Linked DNA regions of Saccharomyces cerevisiae S288C. The main gene of each other region encodes a partner of the protein of the gene in region 2 in a complex. Each region holds a gene or a part of one and is shown on either strand. Other genes may lie near its edges. A codon is read from its position in the direction of its gene.

What was found. The genes of interacting proteins can lie anywhere in the genome.
Region 1: the proteins of CDC14 (region 2) and PSE1 are in contact, whole or in part, in a crystal structure (PDB 4ZJ7), measured with the Saccharomyces cerevisiae proteins. Residues at the interface, in NP_116684.3 of Saccharomyces cerevisiae: Gly547 (codon at 3,568), Ser548 (codon at 3,571), Ile549 (codon at 3,574), Lys550 (codon at 3,577), Lys551 (codon at 3,580); in NP_014039.1 of Saccharomyces cerevisiae: Arg349 (codon at 2,653), Asp353 (codon at 2,665), Ser392 (codon at 2,782), Ser393 (codon at 2,785), Glu396 (codon at 2,794), Cys429 (codon at 2,893), Asn430 (codon at 2,896), Gly433 (codon at 2,905), Gln434 (codon at 2,908), His470 (codon at 3,016), Ala473 (codon at 3,025), Ala474 (codon at 3,028), Val476 (codon at 3,034), Asn477 (codon at 3,037), Gln512 (codon at 3,142), Thr515 (codon at 3,151).
Region 3: the proteins of CDC14 (region 2) and SIC1 are in contact, whole or in part, in a crystal structure (PDB 6G86), measured with the Saccharomyces cerevisiae proteins. Residues at the interface, in NP_116684.3 of Saccharomyces cerevisiae: Phe13 (codon at 1,966), Leu14 (codon at 1,969), Arg17 (codon at 1,978), Val18 (codon at 1,981), Tyr60 (codon at 2,107), Ala63 (codon at 2,116), Val64 (codon at 2,119), Phe66 (codon at 2,125), His67 (codon at 2,128), Leu70 (codon at 2,137), Asn71 (codon at 2,140), Tyr101 (codon at 2,230), Met102 (codon at 2,233), Val105 (codon at 2,242), Gln106 (codon at 2,245), Trp108 (codon at 2,251), Gln112 (codon at 2,263), Leu159 (codon at 2,404), His160 (codon at 2,407); in NP_013180.1 of Saccharomyces cerevisiae: Ser51 (codon at 1,205), Phe52 (codon at 1,202), Asn54 (codon at 1,196), Ala55 (codon at 1,193), Pro56 (codon at 1,190), Leu57 (codon at 1,187), Leu58 (codon at 1,184), Ala59 (codon at 1,181), Pro60 (codon at 1,178), Pro61 (codon at 1,175).

The regions. Positions count from the first base shown.
Region 1 is NC_001145.3:888,452-893,829, reverse strand, and holds PSE1 (importin PSE1), read left to right. Parts: upstream 1-1,608; coding exon 1,609-4,878; downstream 4,879-5,378. Other genes in the region: NIP1 (translation initiation factor eIF3 core subunit c), read left to right, coding at 1-842; 1,3-beta-glucanosyltransferase GAS1, read right to left, coding at 5,148-5,378. UniProt on the Saccharomyces cerevisiae protein: Functions in nuclear protein import as nuclear transport receptor. Serves as receptor for classical and arginine/glycine-rich nuclear localization signals (cNLS and rg-NLS) in cargo substrates.
Region 2 is NC_001138.5:207,913-211,997, reverse strand, and holds CDC14 (phosphoprotein phosphatase CDC14), read left to right. Parts: upstream 1-1,929; coding exon 1,930-3,585; downstream 3,586-4,085. Other genes in the region: PTR3 (Ptr3p), read right to left, coding at 1-1,061; ECO1 (Eco1p), read right to left, coding at 3,701-4,085. UniProt on the Saccharomyces cerevisiae protein: Protein phosphatase which antagonizes mitotic cyclin-dependent kinase CDC28, the inactivation of which is essential for exit from mitosis. To access its substrates, is released from nucleolar sequestration during mitosis.
Region 3 is NC_001144.5:285,142-288,174, reverse strand, and holds SIC1 (cyclin-dependent protein serine/threonine kinase inhibiting protein SIC1), read right to left. Parts: upstream 1,356-3,033; coding exon 501-1,355; downstream 1-500. Other genes in the region: EMP46 (Emp46p), read right to left, coding at 1-259; BOS1 (Bos1p), read left to right, coding at 1,616-1,618, 1,708-2,439; FMP25 (Fmp25p), read right to left, coding at 2,552-3,033. UniProt on the Saccharomyces cerevisiae protein: Substrate and inhibitor of the cyclin-dependent protein kinase CDC28. Its activity could be important for faithful segregation of chromosomes to daughter cells. It acts in response to a signal from a post-start checkpoint.

The DNA of each region.
Region 1 (5,378 bases), on a different chromosome or scaffold from region 2:
ACCAATTCGATTCATCCCTACAAATTTTATTCAACAGGGTTGTTGTTCAATTGGGTCTATCCGCCTTTAAATTATGTTTGATTGAAGAATGTCATCAAATTTTGAATGATCTTCTGTCAAGTTCTCACTTAAGAGAAATTTTGGGCCAACAATCCCTACACAGAATATCTCTCAATTCTAGTAACAATGCTTCAGCTGATGAGCGTGCTAGACAATGTTTGCCATATCACCAACACATCAATCTCGATTTAATCGATGTCGTCTTCTTAACATGTTCCTTATTGATCGAAATTCCAAGAATGACTGCCTTCTATTCCGGTATTAAGGTCAAGAGAATTCCTTACTCTCCAAAATCCATTCGTCGTTCCTTAGAACATTACGACAAGTTAAGTTTCCAAGGTCCACCAGAAACTTTAAGAGATTATGTCTTGTTTGCTGCCAAATCAATGCAAAAAGGTAACTGGAGAGACTCTGTTAAATACTTAAGAGAAATAAAATCTTGGGCTTTATTACCAAACATGGAAACGGTGTTGAATAGTTTAACGGAAAGAGTACAAGTTGAATCTTTGAAGACTTATTTCTTTTCTTTCAAGAGGTTCTATTCAAGTTTTTCTGTTGCTAAACTAGCCGAATTATTTGATCTTCCAGAAAATAAGGTGGTTGAAGTTTTGCAATCTGTTATCGCAGAATTGGAAATCCCAGCCAAATTAAACGACGAGAAGACCATCTTTGTTGTCGAAAAGGGTGATGAAATTACTAAATTGGAAGAAGCAATGGTAAAATTGAACAAAGAATATAAAATCGCTAAAGAACGTCTTAACCCACCATCAAATCGTCGTTGATCAATAAAATCAAAAACTACTTCGAAAGCATTCTTAACAAAAAATCATTGTAGATAGAAGAATAACATCAGCAACCAAAAAATATAGAAGGAAACTAAGCAGGAGAGTATAAACCATATTCACTTTTGCTTTTTATTCTTGATATTGCTCATCTTTTTTTTTTTCGATTCTTTTAGCGATCTCTTTATTTTTAGTTTTAGGGTTTGAATCTAATCGTCTTCACTGTACATTACACATAAGCAAATATATATATAGTTTTTTTTGTTACGTAAACACTCTTTATAATATAATACAAACTATTAAACTTTAAGAAAAGTATGATATGCCGCTTTATTTCTTCATCAAATATAATCTCAAAATATATGGATCATGAGTGTTGATAAATAATCCAATAGCCTATCATGGACTATCTGTTTGACATTCTAAAAAAAAAAATAAATTGTACGAACTGCAGTAAATCGGTATTATCATCATGACGCACGATATCAATTCTTTGCAGAAACTGAAAAATTTTTCATTTTCTACCCAGGAAAAAAAGAAAAATGAAATTCACTAAAAAAATGGGAATACTAATACCAGACGGTCCAATAATCACTATAGTATTATAGACAGCTATAACAGTGATCGAAGTTCGGCGCTCTTCAGATACCGAGTGGCTAATAGACTGAGTAGATCAAAGTGGCAGATAGCCCAAACAAAAGTAATTAGCTTGCAAGCCACTTTATCCTAACGACACGTGATTTCAACCGTAACTAGAGCCATCGCTATGTCTGCTTTACCGGAAGAAGTTAATAGAACATTACTTCAGATTGTCCAGGCGTTTGCTTCCCCTGACAATCAAATACGTTCTGTAGCTGAGAAGGCTCTTAGTGAAGAATGGATTACCGAAAACAATATTGAGTATCTTTTAACTTTTTTGGCTGAACAAGCCGCTTTCTCCCAAGATACAACAGTTGCAGCATTATCTGCTGTTCTGTTTAGAAAATTAGCATTAAAAGCTCCCCCTTCTTCGAAGCTTATGATTATGTCCAAAAATATCACACATATTAGGAAAGAAGTTCTTGCACAAATTCGTTCTTCATTGTTAAAAGGGTTTTTGTCGGAAAGAGCTGATTCAATTAGGCACAAACTATCTGATGCTATTGCTGAGTGTGTTCAAGACGACTTACCAGCATGGCCAGAATTACTACAAGCTTTAATAGAGTCTTTAAAAAGCGGTAACCCAAATTTTAGAGAATCCAGTTTTAGAATTTTGACGACTGTACCTTATTTAATTACCGCTGTTGACATCAACAGTATCTTACCAATTTTTCAATCAGGCTTTACTGATGCAAGTGATAATGTCAAAATTGCTGCAGTTACGGCTTTCGTGGGTTATTTTAAGCAACTACCAAAATCTGAGTGGTCCAAGTTAGGTATTTTATTACCAAGTCTTTTGAATAGTTTACCAAGATTTTTAGATGATGGTAAGGACGATGCCCTTGCATCAGTTTTTGAATCGTTAATTGAGTTGGTGGAATTGGCACCAAAACTATTCAAGGATATGTTTGACCAAATAATACAATTCACTGATATGGTTATAAAAAATAAGGATTTAGAACCTCCAGCAAGAACCACAGCACTCGAACTGCTAACCGTTTTCAGCGAGAACGCTCCCCAAATGTGTAAATCGAACCAGAATTACGGGCAAACTTTAGTGATGGTTACTTTAATCATGATGACGGAGGTATCCATAGATGATGATGATGCAGCAGAATGGATAGAATCTGACGATACCGATGATGAAGAGGAAGTTACATATGACCACGCTCGTCAAGCTCTTGATCGTGTTGCTTTAAAGCTGGGTGGTGAATATTTGGCTGCACCATTGTTCCAATATTTACAGCAAATGATCACATCAACCGAATGGAGAGAAAGATTCGCGGCCATGATGGCACTTTCCTCTGCAGCTGAGGGTTGTGCTGATGTTCTGATCGGCGAGATCCCAAAAATCCTGGATATGGTAATTCCCCTCATCAACGATCCTCATCCAAGAGTACAGTATGGATGTTGTAATGTTTTGGGTCAAATATCTACTGATTTTTCACCATTCATTCAAAGAACTGCACACGATAGAATTTTGCCGGCTTTAATATCTAAACTAACGTCAGAATGCACCTCAAGAGTTCAAACGCACGCCGCAGCGGCTCTGGTTAACTTTTCTGAATTCGCTTCGAAGGATATTCTTGAGCCTTACTTGGATAGTCTATTGACAAATTTATTAGTTTTATTACAAAGCAACAAACTTTACGTACAGGAACAGGCCCTAACAACCATTGCATTTATTGCTGAAGCTGCAAAGAATAAATTTATCAAGTATTACGATACTCTAATGCCATTATTATTAAATGTTTTGAAGGTTAACAATAAAGATAATAGTGTTTTGAAAGGTAAATGTATGGAATGTGCAACTCTGATTGGTTTTGCCGTTGGTAAGGAAAAATTTCATGAGCACTCTCAAGAGCTGATTTCTATATTGGTCGCTTTACAAAACTCAGATATCGATGAAGATGATGCGCTCAGATCATACTTAGAACAAAGTTGGAGCAGGATTTGCCGAATTCTGGGTGATGATTTTGTTCCGTTGTTACCGATTGTTATACCACCCCTGCTAATTACTGCCAAAGCAACGCAAGACGTCGGTTTAATTGAAGAAGAAGAAGCAGCAAATTTCCAACAATATCCAGATTGGGATGTTGTTCAAGTTCAGGGAAAACACATTGCTATTCACACATCCGTCCTTGACGATAAAGTATCAGCAATGGAGCTATTACAAAGCTATGCGACACTTTTAAGAGGCCAATTTGCTGTATATGTTAAAGAAGTAATGGAAGAAATAGCTCTACCATCGCTTGACTTTTACCTACATGACGGTGTTCGTGCTGCAGGAGCAACTTTAATTCCTATTCTATTATCTTGTTTACTTGCAGCCACCGGTACTCAAAACGAGGAATTGGTATTGTTGTGGCATAAAGCTTCGTCTAAACTAATCGGAGGCTTAATGTCAGAACCAATGCCAGAAATCACGCAAGTTTATCACAACTCGTTAGTGAATGGTATTAAAGTCATGGGTGACAATTGCTTAAGCGAAGACCAATTAGCGGCATTTACTAAGGGTGTCTCCGCCAACTTAACTGACACTTACGAAAGGATGCAGGATCGCCATGGTGATGGTGATGAATATAATGAAAATATTGATGAAGAGGAAGACTTTACTGACGAAGATCTTCTCGATGAAATCAACAAGTCTATCGCGGCCGTTTTGAAAACCACAAATGGTCATTATCTAAAGAATTTGGAGAATATATGGCCTATGATAAACACATTCCTTTTAGATAATGAACCAATTTTAGTCATTTTTGCATTAGTAGTGATTGGTGACTTGATTCAATATGGTGGCGAACAAACTGCTAGCATGAAGAACGCATTTATTCCAAAGGTTACCGAGTGCTTGATTTCTCCTGACGCTCGTATTCGCCAAGCTGCTTCTTATATAATCGGTGTTTGTGCCCAATACGCTCCATCTACATATGCTGACGTTTGCATACCGACTTTAGATACACTTGTTCAGATTGTCGATTTTCCAGGCTCCAAACTGGAAGAAAATCGTTCTTCAACAGAGAATGCCAGTGCAGCCATCGCCAAAATTCTTTATGCATACAATTCCAACATTCCTAACGTAGACACGTACACGGCTAATTGGTTCAAAACGTTACCAACAATAACTGACAAAGAAGCTGCCTCATTCAACTATCAATTTTTGAGTCAATTGATTGAAAATAATTCGCCAATTGTGTGTGCTCAATCTAATATCTCCGCTGTAGTTGATTCAGTCATACAAGCCTTGAATGAGAGAAGTTTGACCGAAAGGGAAGGCCAAACGGTGATAAGTTCAGTTAAAAAGTTGTTGGGATTTTTGCCTTCTAGTGATGCTATGGCAATTTTCAATAGATATCCAGCTGATATTATGGAGAAAGTACATAAATGGTTTGCATAAAGACGTTTAATAGAAAGAAGAACAATGTTAAGTAGTTCTATAAGGAATATTAAATGAATATTGTCTTTTTTGATGATTTAAAAACATATAATGTAACAATAGTGTTCTTTTTAATTTACCGGTGGTAATAGCGAATAGAATCTTATAAAACTTACATAGAAAAAAAATATATACTATACTTACAACTTTTCATTTTTTTCGTAAAAACTACCCCACAATGAAATAAGATACCATACCTTATCGAGTTATTATGTATGTGTCGAAGCTTTTTAAACCAAAGCAAAACCGACACCAGCGGCAATGGATAAGGAAATGATGGAGGTAAAGACCACTTGTGCTAAGTTAGCTTTAACGTTGGTGGCAGCATTCTTCTTGCTAGAAGATGAAGATGAAGCTGAAGAAGAAGAAGAAGAACTGGAAGAACCAGAAGAGCCGGAGTTAGACTTGGAAGAAGACCCCGAAGCGTTAGAAGAGGCAGTACTGGATTCAGTTCCGGAACC
Region 2 (4,085 bases):
GATGACGATTGCTCTGTTAGTTGGTTGAAGTTGGGACCATATTCTCCACTAGACTTGCCACATGATACTAGTTGAGGAGAGTTGTCCTTCGGATTAATCGAATAAATTTCCCACTTGTGTTCAGTAATTAGAGCAAATTTGGTGCAATCGGGAGAAATGCTTTGGTTGATGAATAATTTGGATTTCGTCCCTAGGAATTTGGGGTGTGTGTTGAACTGAAATTTTTTTCTGTACATGGGGAAACAGTTGGCAAAAAAGTACTCCTTTTCTTCGTCCAGATCATGTGCACTATTTGTTTGGTAGTTTGCTGTGGAAGGTATTGTAACGTCCGTAGACATCAAAGAGAAGTTGTTATCTATCGGCACAGTTCTTGTGTTCGAGGCATTATCCAGGATTTTCCAGTTCGCGTGGTCGTCATAGTTGGGCTCGAGTAAGCTGCTTGAGTAATTCTCCTTAGTGGTGTGTTCTTCTTGATCACGGGTGGTGCCAGTCGTGAGTGGGTGGTCCGACCCTACCTCTGTATTCGCATTATGCATCTTCGAAGCCACAATATGGAAGAGTTCGAGCAGTGATGATTTCTCCTTAACTGTAGGGTCTGATAGTGTCTTGTTATCAGCTTCTAGCCCAGCAGTGGAGGAAGAGCGCGATGGCGTTAGCGATAGTGATGATGATGATGGTGAAGTCTTTACTATAGCGGGGAGCTCATCGCTTTCGCTTTCGCCCTGTCCGGTAGTACTTCTGAAGAAGTCAATCTGACGAGCCAAATCTCGCAGCGGCTTGATGGCTGAAAGTAGTCGAACATTTTCTCGCTGACAGATGGGACACGCAGTTTGCTTGTTCGAAGTTTCCCTGCATAAATCATTGAATAGCGATTCAGATATACAGCAGCCACACGTAAGCACAGAGCAGTCTTTGACTATACCGTATTGCACATGTGATTCGTCAGTACCAGTTGCACCATCGAGTGATAGCCGTTGCGGTAGATAGAGGTCGTGTTCTATATCGTCGAGCACCCTCGCTATATCCGTCTGGCGGCCCCACTTTTGTCTATGAGAGTGCATGAACGCCTATCAGTTGTGTATTTCGTACCTATGTATGTGTGAGTGTGCGTGTGCTAAATTTTACGGGTATCTTTTCAGTGCTGATAAGGTAATCATTGATGACTACTGTAATGGTAATGTTAATAAGACGAATAACTCCTCCGCTTGAAAAAGGTGTGAAAATCAAAAGTGCGCCTCATGAAATAATGATAAAGGAATCTTTATATAGCAAAGTAATCAACAAAAACGACTCTCGGTAGCCAAGTTGGTTTAAGGCGCAAGACTGTAATTTACCACTACGAAATCTTGAGATCGGGCGTTCGACTCGCCCCCGGGAGATATTTTTTTCTGAAATTTTTTTGGCTTTATTTTTTCATTAATACACCTGTGTTAGTTATGATTGCCACTAGCTTATATACGTGACTTCTGTGACTTCTGTGACTACTGATGTGTTTTTAGTAGAATACAACTGTTTTTTTCTGTAATGCGTTTTCACATATTGGCACCAGAAAGTGTCGTTACTTTATAAAGCAAGCGACTAGAACAACAATCACACACACACACACACACACACACACACACACACACACACACACACACACACACACACACAAGCTATGAGCCTGATAACGTGAGTCATTCGTTTTTTAGCCGATAGTAGAGATATGCATTTGAAGGCCATTGCTATTGTGTCAATCAAGAAAGCTGTATCACTTTCAACGGGGAATGTACTTTTAGCACCATAAGTTTTTCTTCACTTGGTTCAAAGGTAAACAAATTGAAATTGAAACAATAATGTACCAAATATTTCCGATTCGTTCGAGGTATAATACGAAACAATTGCACAGAGGCTGGGACTACAAAGTACGCTTATAAAAAAAAAAAAAAAATGCGTAGGAGTGTATACCTCGACAACACGATCGAGTTCCTGCGAGGCAGAGTATATCTCGGTGCATATGATTACACGCCGGAAGATACTGATGAGCTGGTGTTTTTTACCGTGGAGGACGCAATCTTTTACAACAGTTTCCATTTGGATTTCGGTCCCATGAACATTGGACATCTATATCGTTTTGCCGTTATTTTCCATGAAATCTTGAATGACCCAGAAAATGCCAATAAAGCCGTTGTTTTCTATTCATCTGCATCGACCAGACAACGTGCTAACGCCGCATGTATGCTTTGCTGTTATATGATCCTCGTTCAGGCATGGACTCCGCATCAAGTGCTTCAGCCGTTGGCGCAAGTAGACCCTCCCTTCATGCCATTTAGAGATGCCGGTTATTCTAATGCGGATTTCGAAATCACAATTCAAGATGTGGTTTATGGCGTTTGGAGGGCTAAGGAAAAAGGCCTTATTGATTTGCATTCCTTCAATTTGGAGAGTTACGAGAAATACGAACACGTGGAGTTTGGAGACTTCAATGTACTCACCCCAGATTTTATTGCATTTGCGTCACCACAAGAGGACCATCCAAAGGGCTATCTCGCTACCAAATCTTCACATTTGAACCAGCCGTTTAAGTCAGTTCTGAATTTTTTCGCCAACAATAACGTCCAATTAGTGGTAAGGTTGAATTCTCATTTATATAATAAAAAGCATTTTGAAGACATTGGCATTCAACATTTGGATCTAATTTTCGAAGATGGTACATGTCCTGATCTTTCCATTGTAAAAAACTTTGTTGGTGCTGCTGAAACGATAATTAAAAGGGGAGGTAAAATTGCTGTGCACTGTAAGGCTGGGCTAGGTAGAACTGGTTGTTTAATTGGTGCTCACTTAATATACACGTATGGATTTACCGCTAACGAGTGTATTGGCTTCTTAAGGTTTATAAGGCCGGGAATGGTCGTTGGCCCTCAACAGCATTGGTTATATTTACACCAGAATGATTTTAGAGAATGGAAGTACACAACCAGAATTTCTTTGAAGCCTAGTGAGGCCATTGGCGGCTTATATCCCTTAATAAGTTTAGAAGAATACCGCTTACAAAAAAAGAAACTTAAAGACGACAAGAGGGTTGCGCAAAATAACATTGAAGGTGAATTAAGAGATTTAACCATGACGCCGCCATCCAACGGTCATGGGGCGCTTAGTGCCAGAAATTCGAGCCAACCTTCTACGGCGAATAATGGAAGTAATTCATTCAAGAGCTCAGCCGTCCCACAGACTTCGCCTGGTCAGCCGAGAAAGGGCCAAAACGGTTCTAATACTATAGAAGATATCAACAATAATCGTAATCCAACTTCCCATGCGAATAGGAAGGTAGTAATAGAAAGCAACAACTCAGATGACGAATCCATGCAGGATACCAACGGCACAAGTAATCATTATCCCAAAGTTTCGCGCAAGAAAAATGATATCTCCTCTGCTTCATCGTCCCGAATGGAAGATAACGAACCCAGCGCAACGAACATCAATAATGCCGCAGATGATACCATACTAAGACAACTATTGCCCAAGAATAGGAGAGTAACGTCAGGGAGAAGGACTACAAGCGCCGCCGGTGGTATAAGAAAAATAAGTGGCTCCATCAAGAAATAATTTATTTCATTTTTATATATATATATATCATATAATAAAAAAACTTACTAATAATAACCTTGAAAAGTTTTATGCCATTTTTCCAGTGTCCCTTCTCGCTGTCTTTTCGAAAGAGTCATATGTATACCGGCAATAGTAACTTGCCTGATTTATGCATAATGCCGTTGTATTTGCTAGCCAGTTTTCCACCGCTGTCTGTGGGTTGCGACCATGCTACCTGGTACCTAGGAATAACTTCACCGTAAACAATATTTTCTCTTGCAACGTCAATCAATTTGGTTGCGATACCCAACTTCCTTGCTGTCCTGCACACCCAAATTCTCGATATGCCAATCTTAAAATCGGGGTACACATTCTGTACCAATCTTCTAGAATCATAAACCATCCAACGTCCACGACTAGATGTTTTACCATTGCCCCCATAAAGGTTCTCTATAATTATTATTCCGACCGCCCTGTCATTTCTTATGTATACAAACGCTTTGCCTTTTTCTTCTGTG
Region 3 (3,033 bases), on a different chromosome or scaffold from region 2:
CAAGTTTTACTTTGTCACCCAAAGTCCATTGTGAAAGTTCTTTTTGCTGATCTGTCACTTCTAGCAAATTTGGTAGCGAGTATCCTTTATTCCATTTCAATTCATCCTTCTGCGTCACTTTTCCGTGTACCATCCACACACACATATATAACCATATCAGTCCATTAATGAAATTCATCTTCTTTTGCTTAGTTCCAGCTTTTGTTCCTGTGATTTTCCCTAAAAGCTGAAGAGAGGAAGCTGTCTTTCTTGTAGTCATCCTCCCCTAACTCGCTTTGACGAAATACTACAATGAAATATGCTATTATTCTGAAGACAGAAAACCAGAATAAAAGAATACGGTAAGGAAAAGTTAAAAATCCTGTTAATGTTGTAATATAGAATATCCTGTATATATTATAATATGTAAAATGTTGATGTTAATGCCCCTTTGCAAATAAATGTAGAATAAGTAAGTAAATAAAATATAATCGTTCCAGAAACTTTTTTTTTTCATTTCTTCAATGCTCTTGATCCCTAGATTGAAACAATGCCTTTGGCTTGAATCTTCTCTTTTCTTCATCCGTTAACCTTCGTTTCTCTACCACCTCTCCCTTCTTATTGACATATGTTATTACGTCTTCTATATCTGGGTTTTCTCTCAACATTGCCCTTTTACGTTCATTTCTAATTTCCTGAGTGACCAGTTCATCTGATGCAAAGGGATTTTTACCCACCCGCACTGGATTGATGATGATGTCTTCCTCGTCTTCACTTTCTTGACTCCTGGCGTCATTTTTCGGAGAGTTGTTGTTCCAATTTTTTGCCAATTCAAATGTTATCACCTTGTCGCTGGGCGTACCAGGTACATCTTTAATAATCTTCTTTCTATGTGTCTGATCAAACTCATCTCTTTCAAGTGATAAATGTAACTGCCTGGCAGATGTAGGTCTGCTGGGGGGAAGAAGAACTTCTCCTTCTTCTTCTTCTTCTGCTGCATCTATATCCACATTTTGCTGCGTGGGAAACAATATCCTATTTACACGACCCAATGGTTCCTGCTCTTCCCTTACTGTTCCATTATCATGACTTTCAAATTGGAATAGTGTCCTCTTCACTGAAGATTTTGGAAACGGCGAGCGTTGAGGAGACGTAAGCCCATTAAATGGAGAGGTCATACCCATGTTCGAATTGGGAGGTGCTAATAATGGCGCATTTTTAAAAGACTTAGTTGTTGAGGGAGTGACAGGGACTAGGTTCTGTGAAGGCTTTTGGGGGGTCTTTTGACCTTGCATTAGGGCACTAGAACTAGTATTGCCACTAGGCTGCGCAAGGTACCTAGTCCCTCTGGACCTTGGTGGGGTGGAAGGAGTCATTTTCGTGTAATAGTCCCTGCTTCAAGGGTCAAAATTCCGTAGAGGTTTGGTTGATTGATTTACAAAGACAATACCTTATCCTTTGGATATGCCTTCTCTCTTTTTATAAATATCAAAAGTTGCGACGCGAACAACAAGCCAGCCATTGAAATTTTCAGTGTGCTGGCTATAATAGACAGGATCGACGCTGTCGATGGAGAAGGAAACACGGCAATAGTGCAGATATTATCGTGACTTAATCATATTGATTTGAGGGGGGAATGGTATGTTTGATCGCCGGAGGCATCTTTTCTCATTATTGCTAAAACAAGATGTAATACTAACAGGGTATTTTGCTACTACCATCAAATAGAACGCTCTTTACAACCATGCTGTGAAGCAAAAAAATCAACTACAACAAGAGTTGGCCAGGTTTGAAAAGAATTCTGTGACCGCCCCTATTTCTTTACAAGGGTCCATCTCTGCAACTCTGGTCTCACTGGAGAAAACAGTTAAGCAATATGCAGAACATTTAAACAGATATAAAGAAGATACTAATGCAGAGGAAATTGATCCTAAGTTCGCTAATCGACTAGCAACTTTAACACAGGATCTGCACGACTTTACTGCCAAGTTTAAGGATTTAAAACAATCCTACAACGAAAATAATTCCAGAACTCAGTTGTTTGGCTCAGGAGCATCGCATGTTATGGACTCCGATAACCCCTTTAGTACATCAGAGACCATCATGAATAAAAGGAACGTTGGTGGTGCGAGTGCAAATGGTAAAGAGGGCTCTAGCAACGGTGGGGGACTACCGTTGTACCAAGGGCTACAAAAGGAACAGTCTGTTTTCGAAAGGGGTAACGCTCAATTAGATTACATTCTAGAAATGGGCCAACAATCATTCGAAAATATAGTGGAACAAAACAAAATTTTATCCAAGGTACAAGATAGAATGTCAAATGGCCTAAGAACATTGGGTGTTTCGGAACAAACTATCACCTCTATCAATAAACGGGTGTTCAAAGATAAACTAGTCTTTTGGATCGCGTTAATTCTCTTGATCATAGGTATTTATTATGTGTTGAAATGGTTAAGATAGAAGTAACCGTGAGTTCTATATATAAATAAACATACCATATATACATGCATCATTATAAGGGTTGAAAAAACATCGCGAATCTCGCTACTTTCCTTCTATGCTCTTTCGTTTCTCAAACCCGCCAGTATAAGCAACTTTTATTACCATTGGTGACTACACGTTGCTCCTTTTTTAAGTGTAATTTACTGTTATAAATTGAGTCCAAATCTGTCGTGTCTTGTCCTGGTTTGAGAACTTCGGGAATGTTCATTGGCTTAGCGCATTTCATAGTTTTCTTTCCAATACCTAGTTGGCCATGGTCGTTATTACCCCATGCAATGACCTCGTTTTCTTGTTCAGTTTCAGTGAACACACAATGAGAGCCGCAACTCCAGTTGGTCAATTTCTTGTCATCCGACTTGATTTTTATGGGATCACATTGCGAGTTCTTGAAAGTGTTGTTGCCCAATTCACCAAAAAGTCCATTACCAAACGCGAAATAATGATGGTCTGACGTTGAGCCAGGCTTACGAATGGTCACAAACGATGTTTCATCATCACAATGAATATCCACACATTTCCAATTCGTCATCCCCGGGAAATGCGGTTTAAATG